Linked DNA regions of Tribolium castaneum. The protein of the gene in region 1 interacts with the protein of each later gene in a pairwise test. Links are inferred from orthologs where the notes say so. Each region holds a gene or a part of one and is shown in the gene's direction. Other genes may lie near its edges. The genes, in order: Lztr1 and Grip75.

Region 1 (4,319 bases):
CCTAATTATTTTTCATAAAAACCCGATTTTTTATGTGTTTTATGTTTGTTATGTAACTGAGCTAGATTTGTAAAATATAGTTAAATAAATACGTTTATGTTAATATGTGTTAATGCTAATGTTAATATGTGAATATGAGATTAATTTTGTGGCAAACAAAGTATTTGAATTGTGAGTTAAAAAAAATGTATAGTAATTGTACAAAAAGTCGCACAACTGAAAAACAAAGCAAAGTTTTATTCTCAAAATATGCTCACATTATTTATATAAATTTCTCAATATCAGTGAAGGCAATTACTAGCCAACACAGAAACAACATCTCGAAATAAAAAACCGTAATGCCTTGGTATTTTTGGTATTTTTTTTTGCGGGCGGTAAATTTTGAAATACCCATTACAACCCCCGGTAATAAATAACCTTGTAGCTGGACTCGGATTACCACCGACCATATTTTGAGGGGGGCCCCGCCGCCCCCTGCCCGGCGCTACGGCCACACGATGGTGGCTTTCGACCGGCATTTGTATGTCTTTGGGGGTGCTGCCGATAGCACTCTTTCAAATGATCTCCACTGTTTCGATTTGGACTCTCAGACGTGGTCCACGATTTTACCAGCGGCTGAGTCCTTTGTTCCTTCGGGGAGACTTTTTCACGCTGCGGCCGTTGTGGACGACGCTATGTTTGTCTTTGGAGGCACCATTGATAATAATGTGCGCAGTGGCGAAATGTACCGATTCCAATTCTCTTGTTACCCCAAATGTACTTTACACGAAGACTTCGGGAAGTTGTTGTCAACGAATGAGTTTTACGACGTCCAGTTTTTAGTGGGGCCTGACTCGAAGAAGATTTTTGGCCACATGGCGATAGTGGCCGCAAGGTCGGCGCATTTAAGACAGATTTTGAAAAAAAATAAAGCGAAACGTGATAGTCACTTGGAGAAATTATTCGGAACGGTTAATGTTCCCTTTAAGGAGGTTCCTTTGGTCGAAATTGAGTTTCCAGATGCGAATCCGGAAGCGTTTGAACTAGTCTTGGATTACATTTACATGGATTGTATAGACCCCACGAAAAAAGGGGGCGCAGCAACCGAGACAGTTTTACGAATGATGGACGTTTATCGATTGGCGGTTGAGTTCGGAATGGTCCGTCTGGACAATTTGTGCGTCCAGTATTTAAACTCTTCTATTAACATGGCCAATGTTTTGGAAGCCCTTGAGACTGCGCATAATTTAAAACTGAACGTTATCAAAGACCACTGTTTGCGTTTCATCGTCAAAGAATCAAACTACAACGATATTGTGATGTCCACAAAATTCGAATCTTTGAGTAGTAAACTCATCATCGAGATAATAAGATTGAAACAAACGGCGAGTAATAGTAAAAGTGTGAGTGAGAGTCAGGGAGAGTTAGCGGGGACCACTTTGGAACAAGACATGGCCATGTTTTTGAAGACACACGGGGCCTCATTTTACGACGTAGATTTGGTCTTAGATGGGAACGTCATTCCGGCACATAAACCCATTTTGGCCGCCAGAAGTGGCTATTTTGAGGCGCTTTTCAGGTCTTTTATGCCGACAGATTGTAAAGTCAAGGTAAGAATTTAACGGTTTGTAAATAAAAAAATACAGGCAGATAGATCTTTATCTCGAAAAACGTTTTTTTTGTTAAACGTTGCGAATACGGTCAAAGGTGTAAGGAATAAGAATTTGTAGAGAATTAAATTTATTACAAAAATTTCAAACATTTCTATCTTCAACCGTTTATTAGCTGTTTCAAAACTATAGAAATGCCAACGTTGCATTTTACCGAATTATTGTTTTAAATAGTTATTAATGGTTAGATCTCTCAATAAAACTGCAAATTACAGTAGGTATTAATTTTTTGCAGTGCATGAATAATTGAAAACAACTAACTTTTGAAGAAAATGCGACGTTGGCATTTCTATAATTTTGAAACAGCTAATGGATTAAAATCGCTTTCAGCTTCGAACACCACCGTCATTGACTTTGTACCAAATAAATTTATTATTAGTCTTTATATTCGATAAATCTACGTTGTTTCAAATGATTGAAACAGATAGTGTAGTCCAGTCAAATAATCAAAATTTAGAGGATTTAGAGGGTTAAAAAAGATCAAATAAAGTATTTTTTCAAGAATACTTCTAAATAAAAATTGGAAGGCATAAAATCTTCATTTACAGAGATAACCGTTAATTGACTTTAGAATAGAAAATTTTGTGTTTACATCCTTTTGGATAAAGCTAGAACCTTATTTTTTTTGCAAGTGATTCCTCAGTGAATGAAGATTCTAACGTATACTATTACACAAGCTTTAGACTTGATAAAAGAAAACTGAGAAATTTCAGTTTTCTTGTAACGAATCATCTTTGAGTAGCGAAATATTCACGATAAGAAATACTTTAAATAAGATAAAAACTAAATTCTTACGAAATGTCACAACGAAATGAAGCTAATAGTTCAAATAACTTTTTGGTGCAAGAATCCTTTCAAAAGAAATCTGTAAACACTTACCAAGTATTTGCAATTTAAAGTTTCTGCAATATGCGCTATAGAAGTGGAAAAACGCGAGTTGAAGTTGAGTTGAGCGATAAAAAACAAAAATCCATTAAATTTACATCGTTTTTCTATTTATTCTATTTTGATGCATTTATTAAAGTTGTTGTGCAATAAAATTGCAAATGATTGAAATCATGACCATTTTATAGAAAATTTAATTCTCTACAAGTTCCTTTTTTACATTTTTCGTGTATTTTTAACCGTTTTGGCACCCTTTTGATAAGTATGAAATGGAGGGCAGATTAAAAATTGTATTTTCATGTTTGTTGTGCAAATTTTCATCGCCAGTTTTTGTCAGCATATTAAGAATTTTTCCAAACAAATCATGATACCGTTTAATGTTTAAAACGCCTCATTTTTACAAAATTTTTGTCCGTTGAAAATCGATTTATTATGTACCTCGTTCAGCGCCATAGTATTTAATTCTCCATATTTTCAACAAATTGAGTGATTTTGGATCTAGTTTTAGTCCTCAATATTTTTTTATTTTTAGATTCAAATCGGCGAAATGATTCCGTCGCTCCAATCATTCCACTCCCTCCTCCGGTTCGTTTACTGCGGGGACGTGAACATGCCCCCCGAAGACTCGCTGTACCTCTTCTCAGCCCCCTTATTCTACAGTTTTACCAACAACAGGCTCCAGGCGTTTTGCAAACAGAATTTAGAAATGAACGTCTCGTTTGAGAATGTGATACAGATATTGGAAGCCGCCGACGGTATGCAAGCCACCGACATGAAAAAATACGCTCTTGATTTGATCGTCCACCACTTTACTAAAGTGGCGAAATTGCCGCGATTACGAATGTTGAGTAAAGAATTAATTTTGGATATTTTGATGGCTCTTGCGAATGATTTGAGCGAGTCAAAATGCCAGGACGTGTCATCCTCGGCGAGCTTCACCGATGGTTGTACTTAATGTGATTTTTTTGAGCACCAAATTAAAAAACAAATGTACTCAATTTATTTAATTAAAAATTTCTTTCACCTAACCAGTATTTTATTGCGTTTACGTGGTCGCCGTTTATGCAAATTTTACCCGCGAATTCGTTGACTTGCAGTCGCAGATTCTTCGGTTTGAGTAAATCCTCCAAAAAGGGGCGCAAGTCCTTCTCCAGCTGCCAAATATCGCCCTGAATCTTTTTAATAATAGTGTGTCTAGCGGTCCCCCTTTGACGGATTTCCAAATACACGGGCATCATGTGGTTGCGAGTTCTCGCAATGAAGTAAGGCCGGTCTTTGAGGTCGTCTCCTTGGGGCTTCCAGCCTGAAGCATACATTGGTAGTTTCTTAGGTTCTGGGACTGTAGTCACTGGGAGGAGTCCCTCAACGTATTTCCATTCTTCGGGGTTTTTAGTCGTTTCATACTTCGTGTTAACCTCGACGTCCACGAGGAATTTACTCGAGTGGAAGCTGGAGTTTCTGATTTGGGGCGACTAAATGTGAGGTTAGGTATGCTCAAGAAAAAATGAACTAGACTCACGTTGTATAATCTCGGGTGCATGAAGCAGGTTTTTGTGATAATTCGCTGTAAATATGTCCGAATCGATGCCATTTTTTATAATAATTCACTAATCGAGTAAACAATTACGAAATTACATAACCTCAAAGTATCGGTAATGTAGGACGCAAGGTACCGACGCGGTAAAATATTTTTTGAAATTTATTGTGCAAAAACGTGGTTGGGGATTACACCAGCACGAGTGCAAGTGTGTTTAGGCGCTTTCGTAATTATTGTCTGAATTTATG
Region 2 (4,538 bases), on another chromosome or scaffold:
ACAATAAAAACTTGGATCAAATGACCATTCCTAGACAATTTTATCATTCATATCGCATTTATGGCTCAAATACCAAGAGCCTTGAGTCATGTTTACAAATTTTTTATTAAGAAAAAAAGGACCTTCTGAGCAACGATGGGATCAGAAAAGTATTGCCTGCTTAAAGTCGTAACAAAAAGGGCTACAGGCCTCAGAAATGGACTTCTGAACGACCCATTCATCATCTCCCATCTGAACATCAGAAGGATCGTCCATTTCTGAGCCCCTAACCTTGGTCTATGTTCATCGAACCCGTTTCAGGAGTGTGTCGAAACACTTGGCGCCACCTATTTCCCCAAAAAGCAATCACTTACCAGTGGAAAAATTGCTCAATGACAGAAAAAAATGTAGAAAATAATATTTTTTTACGTAAAAAAACTGCTTTAAGTTAAGACACGTACGGATAATTGCCGACTGTCGATGTTGTAGGGGTGCACTGTGGCGGTGGTTCTCGGCACCGTCCCTTGGGGCTGCGGCATATTGTGGTCTTTGCTTCCTGGTGATAATGACGGCGTTGGTACGTTGCTCAAGGAACCCCCTTGCCTGTGAAAAGCGGGTTAGAACCAAGGGGGCGACCGAACGCTGCCAACTCACTGTTGAATACTTTTGTACAAGTCTCTGATTTTCTGATGAATCGGATGCGATCGCACTCTAAGGAGCTCTAAAGCCCTCTGTTGAAGCTCGGTTTTTCTTCCTGACTTATTCCGTCCAGCAAAACCCAATAGCATCTGCAGTTCGGACACCCGAAACGTAATTAGCATATTCTTGAACAAAAACAAAGATCAATTAACGCGCTCAAGGGGGCCCTGGCAACTGAACAATGCAAGAAATTAACGCACGATAAGCTGAAACAATGTGCAACTATCGGCCAATTACACAAACACCAACATGGTTAGGTGGAAAGGGGGCGCTTACCCGCAACTCATCTATGTTTTCTGACATTTCCTGTGGCTGATCCAGTTTGAGATCTCCTCTAACGTCACTTCAACCATTTAAACAAATGAATAACACGGCTTTTTGTCAAACATCAAGTGAGCTAGCGTCCGATCGTCAATTCAAAGCCTACCCAATAGGGCGGTTTCAGGGGGTTAAAAGAACGCCCCACGCACTTCTGGCACACAGATTTGGGCTATTTTTCGTGGCGTCACTTCGAAATGCACGATTTTTGCCAAAATAACAAACCAACAAACGATTTCACATAAGGGACTGCGCGCTGCCAACACTACAGCGCGAAAGCGAAAAGCACCAACACAAAAGTTCAAATCTACGACAAGAGAAAACAATCGCAAATAATTTAGTTACTCCAACTGTTGTTAATTCAAATTGTTATCGTTTCGAAGCAACATTATCAAAACACATTGGACACTTTTGGAAATTTATAGAAAAAAAAATGTTTTGGGTGCCACCACACAAAACTAAATATTTCTAACAATGAAAAATTTGGTGGGCAGGTTGGCAGCAATTTGCTAATTCAAAAATTGATGTTTTGAGGTTAAATAATTTTATTGGTGGTAAAAAAGGCCATAATGATTCACGAGATACTGATTAACTTGTTGCACAATTCGGACGATTCGGTATTTGTGACCGCTTTGTGGAGCCCCCTTGCAATTGTTTGTTCCAGTTGGGCAAACTTGACGAACTCCAGGAGTTCCTGCACCCGGGGGAGAAGCAACTCCTCCACCACATCATGGAAATATCCTCAAACCACAACTGGATCGTCTCATTTTGCAAAAAAATCCAGAACTGTAGTGTTGACCAACACGGTCTCTACATCAAGGCTTTTGTGAACGGTGTGCTTGATGTTTTGGGGGATTACAAGAGCGAAATTGTCAGACTGGAAGATCAGTTCTTGCAAAACCCCGAGCTCCAGTTAATTTTCATTTCAAGTTGCTTGGAAAAGTACCAAGTATTGTTCAATGTGATTATGTCGATTATTCAAGTCGTGGAGAAGGACAGGCTCCATGGGTGCCTCCTTATGGGGCGGCTCCACAAATACATCTACTGTGGCGTGGAACCTATAACCCAAGCTGCGAAAAAGTGAAATCCCACCCTTGAAAAACCACTTAAATGCGGTTTTCTTACAGGATAACTCACTGCTTCAACAGCATTTTTTACCGCCACTTGTGCAACTGGATCATTTACGGCGACTTGGTCGACCTTTATAAAGAGTTTTTCATCAGCGATGGCGAATGCTGGGACGAGGATTTCCTCTACCCTGAGCAAAACGAAGAAAGCACACTGACACGAGTTGTACGTTGAATTTTTTCGCTAACCGTTTTTTTAACAATTTTTTGCAGAAACACCGAATCAAGCGCCCACCACCTGTCCGCAAATTCACAATAGTCTGGTCTATGGTTCCGATGTTTATCACTGAAGATACGGCCGAAAGCATACTTTTCATGGGCCGAATCGTATGGATCGTCAAAAACCACCAGAAAACCAACACAGATAATTACCAAAACCTACACAAGCCTGACGTTTGGGACGGCAAAGATATAGAGTATTACAAGAAAATTCAAGCGCTCGAGACGCAAATTTTCGACCAGATGGAGTTCCAGAGAGTTATAGAGGAGTGCAGAATCAAGTTAACCAAAGTAAGGATTTTTTTCCACGATTTTTGGTAATAAACTCAATTTTTGTGCCAAAAACAGGAAGATTTCGTTAAAAAAAATATAGCTTTCACTGTACTCGTAATAATGTAGAATTTCTAGTACTTGTGGTCCGTTATGGTGGACGAGGGCGACCTAAAGGAACACTTGCAACTTATACGAGATTACTATGCGCTGGGGCGAGGCGAACTTTTCCACCAATTCATCGAAGCGGCGGAAAATCAAACCACTTCGTACAACCTCAACGTGATTTTCCTGGAAACTGCGCGGAAAATCTACGGAGAGAACGACAAGACGTACCTCAGATTCGAATTAGCTAAACTGGAAAAGACAAGTGGGGGAAACACAATTAATGTCCCCAACTAATTGATTATTTCAGGCGTGAACCCGTGGTCGAAATTACAACTCAATTTCGAAATTAGTTGGCCCCTTCATATCATCTTCAACCCAAAATCGATGGAACTGTACAATCAATTATTCTGCTACTTGTTAAGGCTGAGCAGAACTCAGATCCACTTACACAAGTTGTGGCAAGCGCACATGTCCGGGAAACAAAACATGTGTGTATTAATTAAATAATCAATCGGTTATTGTTAATTTTTGCAAATTTAGTGACCGGCGAGTGTGGACTTTACGCCAGCATTTAATTTTCCTAGTCAATAATCTACAATATTACCTCCAAGTGGACGTGATCGAGGCGCAATTTTCGCTACTTTTGAAAGCGATCGAAAACGCCAACGAATTCGAGGAGATCATCAAAGTCCATCACGAGTTCATCAGCAATTTACTCGCGAAAACTTTCATCCTGACCCCTGATAAAGTAAGTCAAGTCGGTTTTGAAATTACTTTGGTTAGACTGAATTAATTTTGCAGAGCCACACTTATCAAAACAAACACCGGTTACACCAAACTCCCGCCGTTCAGTTTAACGTCCCGAGTGAAGTAATAATTGTTGATTAAGTGTTTAATTGAACAATTAATGGTTTGTTAAAGGTTTACAACGTGATAATCCAGCTGCTGGAGCTGTGTGACAATTTCTGCGTCATTGCGTCGACATGGCAACCGCAGTTAACCGAACCGGAAGTAACCGAGTTTGAACAGTTCCAGAAACGCACCGATACCATCGTCGATTCGCTTTTGTTTATTCTGTACAAGTTACATGAACGAGCCGATGGCCAACACTTGGTCCAGTTGTTGCACCAGCTCGACTTTAATCGCTTTTTCACTCGAAACAAACCCGAGTTTAACCTAACGCAAAGAACGTAATTTATTTTTTCTTCATCACTTTCATAAATAACACCATATCTGGAATAAATTAATTAGGAGGCAAAGTTATTTCATTCGGCGACTTACTAATAAAAACAACCACAACCACAAGTAACATGATCCACATCCAGCATTTCCAGGCCCGTTTCGAGTGCTCGGCCAATTTGTTCGATTCCGCGCTCAGTTTGGAATAGTTTTGGTCGGTTAGTTGCGCCGATCGCGACACAACTTCGGTGTCTTTTTTGATAATTTTATTGGCTAGTTCCGACTGTTCTTTCAAGTTTTTGGTCAAGATGAGCATATCGTCGGTGATTTTCTGTTGCATGTTTTCGTGGAAATTCAAAACTTGGTCTAAGTCGCTCGTTTCGGGGCCTTTGCGGTGCCTCACGCCTGCAAGCTTTACTAGTACCATGAACTGTTACAAGGGGCCACAGACCTAGGAGGCTCTCCCGGAGCAATTCGGTGTCGTTTTCAGGGGGGTATTTACTTGTAGTGATCCCCAAGTCGGCCTTAATGGCTGCGATACGGCGCTGGTACGTCAGCAGGAACTCATAGTTGGGACTTAAACGCCTGGTTTAGTGAAAATTCGGGGGTTTTGGGACAACTCACTCTGACATTTTTTTC

The links.
Region 2: the proteins of Lztr1 (region 1) and Grip75 interact in binary tests that used the Homo sapiens proteins (3 or more experiments, as listed by UniProt). The link is inferred for Tribolium castaneum from reciprocal best matches to the Homo sapiens genes LZTR1 and TUBGCP4.

Annotation. Positions count from the first base shown.
Region 1 is NC_087402.1:10,246,994-10,251,312, forward strand, and holds the end of Lztr1 (leucine-zipper-like transcriptional regulator 1), read left to right. Parts: intron 1-424; coding exon 425-1,589; intron 1,590-3,066; coding exon 3,067-3,489; 3' UTR 3,490-3,541; downstream 3,542-4,319. Other genes in the region: mRpL49 (large ribosomal subunit protein mL49), read right to left, coding at 3,542-4,006, 4,054-4,125. UniProt on the Homo sapiens protein: Substrate-specific adapter of a BCR (BTB-CUL3-RBX1) E3 ubiquitin-protein ligase complex that mediates ubiquitination of Ras (K-Ras/KRAS, N-Ras/NRAS and H-Ras/HRAS).
Region 2 is NC_087396.1:21,170,737-21,175,274, forward strand, and holds Grip75 (gamma-tubulin complex component 4), read left to right. Parts: upstream 1-1,427; 5' UTR 1,428-1,565; coding exon 1,566-1,613; intron 1,614-1,660; coding exon 1,661-2,076; intron 2,077-2,123; coding exon 2,124-2,289; intron 2,290-2,336; coding exon 2,337-2,633; intron 2,634-2,750; coding exon 2,751-2,982; intron 2,983-3,027; coding exon 3,028-3,208; intron 3,209-3,260; coding exon 3,261-3,468; intron 3,469-3,521; coding exon 3,522-3,590; intron 3,591-3,641; coding exon 3,642-3,914; 3' UTR 3,915-3,915; coding exon of another isoform or gene 3,916-3,953; 3' UTR 3,954-3,988; downstream 3,989-4,538. Other genes in the region: Su(var)2-10 (E3 SUMO-protein ligase PIAS2), read right to left, coding at 441-582, 634-803, 955-981; vesicle transport protein USE1, read right to left, coding at 3,916-3,953, 4,002-4,304, 4,351-4,475, 4,524-4,538. UniProt on the Homo sapiens protein: Component of the gamma-tubulin ring complex (gTuRC) which mediates microtubule nucleation.